Linked DNA regions of Macaca mulatta. The protein of the gene in region 2 interacts with the protein of the main gene of each other region in a pairwise test. Links are inferred from orthologs where the notes say so. Each region holds a gene or a part of one and is shown on either strand. Other genes may lie near its edges. The genes, in order: SULT2B1 and FLACC1.

Evidence for each region.
Region 1: the proteins of FLACC1 (region 2) and SULT2B1 interact in binary tests that used the Homo sapiens proteins (3 or more experiments, as listed by UniProt). The two-hybrid records come from large-scale screens. The link is inferred for Macaca mulatta from reciprocal best matches to the Homo sapiens genes FLACC1 and SULT2B1.

The regions. Positions count from the first base shown.
Region 1 is NC_133424.1:61,059,611-61,062,812, reverse strand, and holds the end of SULT2B1 (sulfotransferase 2B1), read right to left. Parts: intron 1,014-3,202; coding exon 748-1,013; 3' UTR 728-747; downstream 1-727. UniProt on the Homo sapiens protein: Sulfotransferase that utilizes 3'-phospho-5'-adenylyl sulfate (PAPS) as sulfonate donor to catalyze the sulfate conjugation. Responsible for the sulfation of cholesterol.
Region 2 is NC_133417.1:106,399,224-106,401,932, reverse strand, and holds the end of FLACC1 (flagellum-associated coiled-coil domain-containing protein 1), read left to right. Parts: coding exon 1-88; intron 89-216; coding exon 217-326; intron 327-1,003; coding exon 1,004-1,130; 3' UTR 1,131-1,970; downstream 1,971-2,709.

The DNA.
Region 1 (3,202 bases), on a different chromosome or scaffold from region 2:
GGAAAATGGACTTTGGCAAGCCCATTGCCTGCACCGGACCTCAGTGTCACAGCCGAGAAAATGGGCCGGCAGCGTCCCCCGCTGCGGATCCTAAAGAACGCACACGCAGCTCCCGAGGGTCAGGCCTTCCTGATGAGGGGTTCGGCTGAGGCCCTGAGCTGGAGCTGTGGAGGGGAAGATGGGGAGTCGCTGCCATGCACACTGTGCTCAGGAGCTGTGGGGAAACTGAGGCATGGAGCTGAATACTGAGGGACTGGAATGTGGTACAGCCACAGCCACAGGCGAACGGGGTGGGTGGCGGGACTTTCTGTGGGTGCTGACAGGGCGGGTCTGCCGGAGCTCCCCTTTACGTCTGCTTGGAATAAAACCACTTCATGCCAAAAACATTCGTTACCAAAGCCTGGCTCTGCATCCAAGAGTCCATAACCCAGCCCCCTCCTCCCTCAGACCCGGGAGTCCATAACCCAGCCCCTCCTCCCTCAGACCCGGGAGTCCAGGCCCCCGGCCCCTCCTCCCTCAGACCCGGGAGTCCAGGCCCCCAGTCCCCTTCTACCTCAGACTGGGGATCAGGCCCCCAGCCCGGGAAAGCCCAGCGCTGGGTTCCTGCAGCACCTTTGCCTCTGGGCAGGACTCTGAGTCGGGAAACCCGGCCTCTGGAAGCCTTGGCGTGGTGAGGATTCTCCACGCCCCGCTGCATGCCCCGCCACAGCGCATCAAGGAACCTGAGCAGAAGCGACGTGTTTATTCTCAGGGTCGCGGGTGCAGGGGCTCAGAGGCCTGGCCAGGGTTGGGGCTGGGGCTGGAGTTGGGTCTAGTTTCAGGCTCCAGGCTGTTGGGCTCAAGGCTGGGCTTGGGCTTAGGATTGGGGCTGGGCTCAGGGTCCGGGCTGGCGTCCTCCTCCGGGTCTTCATCCCAGGGGAAGGTCGGCATCCCCCGCATCTGCTTGCGGTAGACACGATCGAAGGCTTCGCTCTGGGCCACCGTGAAGTGGTTCTTCCAGTCGCCGCAGACCCCTGGAGGGGAGGGCGCGCCAGGGGGTGAGAAGCCTCTGGGGAGCACCGTGCCCCTACCTCCAACATTCCAGCACCCTCTTTACCCCTCCCGGCCTTTGGCGAGGTGTTCCCTTTGCCAGAAACACCATCCTCCCCACCCTCCACATTGCCCCCTTTGTGTCCTATGGTGGCAGAGTCTTGGCCTGTCACCTGGCACCGTTCTCACCTCCACCCTCACTGCCTCTGCTACTGCAGGCTTCCTGTCAGTCCTCCCCTTTATCCCGGACCCTTTAAGTCTCTGCCTAGAACCTCTGTCTCCAACCCCGAATTCCTGCCCACCTTACAGCTTGTGTCACCTCCTCTGCGACCAGTCCCAAACCTCCCCTGCTAGAACAAGGCCTCCTGTCTCAATGCCCCCACAACACTCCGTGCTGCAGCCATTACTGCTGGGACATGGAAGGGACGCCCTTCTGCAGGCACTGTGCTCAGGGCTGGCAACCAATTTGCGGACTGGCGCAGCACGCAAGCCTCAGCAACCCTCCAACCCTCAGTTTTCTATTTTTTTTTTTCTTTTTGAGATGGCGTCTCGCTCTGTCGCCCAGGCTGGAGTACAGTGGTGTGATCACGGCTCACTGCAACCTCCTATTCAAGCGATTCTCCTGCCTCAGCCTCCCGAGTAACTGGGATTACAGGCGTGCACCACCACACCCGGCTAATTTTTATATTTTTAGTAGAGATGGCGTTTAACCATGTTGACCAGGCTGGTCTCAAACTCCTGACCTCAGGTGCTCCACCTGCCTCGGCCTCCCAAAGCGCTGGGATTATAGGCATGAACCACTGCACCCAGTCCAAGCCTCAGTTTTCTCACTGTGGGACTATCACCAGGGCATCACCCCTCACCTGGAAACCTGGGGCTGATAGGATTCAGGGATTCTGCTGTGGCAGCAGAATCGCTTGAACCCGGGAGGCGGAGGTTGCAGTGAGCCGAGATCGCGCCACTGCGCTCCAGCCTGGGTGACAGAGACTCTGTCTCAAAAAAAAAAAAAAAAGAAAGAAGAAGATGCTTCTCTGGTGGCTTGGCAGATGGAGGAAGAGGCCATGAGCCTCGGAATGCAGGTGGGTCAACAACTGAGAAGGTGAGGCAAGAGATTCTCCCCTAGAGCCTTCAGAAGAAATATGTCCTTTTTAACACCTTGAGCTTAGCCCAGGGAGACAGACCTTAGCCCAACTCCTGACCTCCAGAAATGTTAAGAAAGTACATGCAGCCAGGCGCGGTGGCTCACACCTGTAATCTCAGCACTTTGGGAGGCTGAGGCAGGAGGATTGCTTGAGCCCAGGACTTTGAGACCAGCCTGGGCAATATAGCAAGACCCCTGTCCTTATTAAAAACATATTTAAAAAAACAGGGGCCGGGCACCGTGGCTCACACCTGTAATCCCAGCACTTTGGGAAGCTGAGGCAGGCAGATCACTCGAGGTCAGGAGTTCAAGAGCAGCCTGGCCAACATGGTGAAACCCCCTCTCTACTAAAAATACAAAAATTAGCCAGGCGTGGTGGCGCATGCCTATAATCCCAGCTGCTCAGGAGGCTGAGGCAGGAGAATCGCTTGAACCCGGGAGGTGGAGGTTGCAGTGAGCTGAGATTGAGCCACTGCACTCCAGCCTTGGGGACAGAGCGAGACTCCATCTCAAAAAAAAAAAAAAAAAAAAAAAAAGAAAAGAAAAAAAAAGCCGGGCGTGGTGGCTCACACTTGTAATCCCAGCACATTGGGAGGCTGAGACGGGTGGATCACAAGGTCAGGAGATTGAGACCATCCTGACCAACATGGTGAAACCCCATCTCTACTAAAAATATAAAAATTAACCAGATGTGGTTTCGGGTGCCTGTAGTCCTAGCTACTCAAGGAGGCTGAGGAAGGAGAATCGCTTGAACCGGGGAGGCGGAGGTCGCAGTGAGCCGAGATCGCGCCACTGCAACCTCCAGCCCGCCTGGGCAACACAGTGAGACTCCGTCTCAAAAAAAAAAAAAAAAAGAGTAAACGTGTGTCGTTTTGAGCCATGGAGTTTGCGGTGTTCGTTACAGCAGGAAGAGGAAACAACTGCGCTGCCGCCTGCACCCCATAACCCAAAGTTTGAGTATTTCTGCCGTGAACATGGCCGTGGAGGAGGATTTGTGAAGATTCTAGATCTCTCTCGGGCAGACCTGGCGTT
Region 2 (2,709 bases):
CATGGAGGAAGAATTGCATGCACAAGCCCTCATCCTAGAGTCACTTAACGCAAACCTCTACTATACCCAGGTGGAACTCCAAAAAGAGGTGAGTCCCTGCTAGAGTGGGGATGGGGGTTGGGGGAAGAACCTAGGTCTCTGTCCAGCTCTGCCGTATAGCTCTGCCCTGGATGGCTCTGGGTTGGGGAAGATGGCTTTAAAATATTTGTCTTTCAGAAAGCTATAGTGGGAAATCTGGAGAAAATGCTTCAAACCAAGTGTGCTGAAACTGAAGAAAAGTATAAGTACACCATACAGATCCTGATGGAAGAGAACATTCATCTGAAGTGCGGCTGCTGCTGAAAAAGACATGGCTGAGTTCTCTTTAGGAGTGGGAAGGAGTTTGAGTGAGGAATGGGTTAGGAAGATAGACCAAGTGCTCCCTAGTTATGTCAAGGCACAGGCATTTTCAGGAGGGAGGTGTGTCACTGCAGGCCAGCGACACAAAGCCAGATAGTTCACTTGAGGTGGAGTAGAGATGTGTCTACACTTCTCCCATTCACCTGTGTCCTTGTTGCTGTGCAAAACAACACAGGAAATTTATCTCCCAGTTTCTGAGTTTGCTCAGTTCTATGACTGAGGGTGGTTTTTAAATCCATCTCCCCTGGGAGTCTGATGGTCTTACCATTACATGCAGCTGCTTCTGGTTCCTATGGAAATCAGCTTTGGATCAGAAGGTGTACTGTTACCTGAAGCTGCATCTTAAATCATTAAAATAAATTTTGGTCAATACTTTAATAGAGGAAAGTTATTTTTATTGCATTGATTTAGTAGAAAATTCCTCATACAGGACTTCAGTCACCTGAACACCATACCTCACTAAATTCAAAACCACTGGAAGTAATGAGTGAGAGACTGCTGTGGTGAAGGAATGAAGGCACATTGCTCTCCCCGCACCCCAAATATCCTATACCCTTTCTAGCTTTTGAGTTGACATTGATACATCTTTCCTTTCTTTTTACAGGCAAAAGGTAATTTCTAAGAATGAAGAAATGTATGAAGAATATTCTGGGAGATTGGCCTCTATCACTGTTTCTAAGGATGATTCTGACACTGTGGAAGATGGTAGCAAGAAAAGACAAGAATCATAAACATAAAGTCGCTCTCCATTGTTGAAGATGGTCGGCACACCATTTCTGTAGGCCCCGGAAACTCCCGGCAGGGTTTTCTTCAGAACATGTGTATAATGAGTTTAGTTCTTGGGTTGCTCTGACTCTATTTTTGCTCTCTTCTGAGTGGCTGAAAATGTTTGAATTCTCATCTGAATTTCACAGCTTATCACGGACGCTTCATTGAAAAATGATGCTCTCCGTACTGGGAGCTGAGCTTTCTCTGAGTTTTGTACTATTTTTCTTCCACCTTTATGTATTTCATAGGAAAGAAATAGATTTGAAAGCCTTCTTCCTATTGAACTTTTACTATATTTGGGGGGGGGGGTGTACCTTTGTCCCCTGGGGCATTTAGGTAGCAAAAAAAGATGATGTGTTGATTTTATTCTAAAACCTTTTTCTCTCATACCCATGCCCCCTACTTCCCTACCTCTCAATCATGTTCCCTGACCTATGACTTAGGAAGGGTTTCTGATGATTCTTACCACCTTCTCTGGACCATCACCAGAATTCAGACACCCACAGGGCAGGCAACATAAATAAGTGAAGTGGGCTAGACACAAGGAAAACAATTGCATAAGCATAAGTGACAACTGACAGCAGCCTCAGTAGAGGGGCTTGGGCAGGGCTGGGGCACAACGGGTGGAGAAGAATGACCTGCAGAGCACTGTCTCATCTGAAGAAGGTGCTTCTCAGACCTTTGCCATGCAAAAGCATGAGGTCAATATTGTCAGATATTATTATTTTTTCAAAGAAGGTATCCTGGTTTTTATGTGATATCTCCTAATTTTTAAACGTTGACAACAAATTTTAAAAATACAACTGTGTGTGCCAATCATGGGAGACTCAAGTAGAACATGCCTGTGGTCCAGATGTTTTCCACCTGTGAGATGTCATTGGCAGAAACCAAAATCAAACACAAAAAAATCTCCAAGGAGCAGTAAGATCAAATCATACTTTATTCTATTAAAAAATATTTTTGAAAAAAGATACTTAAATTTTAAAGATAACTTAATTCCTAATGATTTAAAATAATCCAAGCAGAGATGAAAGAGCAAATGCAAATGCATAAAAAGACCCACAGCATTGTTAGCAAAAAGCAAATATAGTTAGCCAAGCCTATATGCATCATGAAAGCAAAAGAAGGCAAAAAGCAAGTTTGGGGATAAATTATGTAAAAATTGTAAAATAATTTGAATTTTTAAAAGATTTCAACAAAATTTTGTTTTATTAAAAAAAAATTTTGGCTGGGTATGGAGGCTCACATCTGTAATCCCAGCACTTTGGGAGGCCAAGGCGGGCAGATCATGAGGTCAGGAGATCGAGAACATCCTGGCTAACATGGTGAAACCCCATCTCTACTGAAAAATACAAAAAATTAGCCAGGCGTGGTGGTGGGCACTTGTAGTCCCAGCTACTCGGGAGGCTGAGGCAGAAGAATGGCGTGAACCCAGGAGGCAGAGGTTGCAGTGAGCTGAAATTGCACCACTGCACTCCAGCCTGGGCGACAGAGTGAGACCCCGTCTCAAATTTTTTTTCGAGACGGGGTCTCACTCTGTCG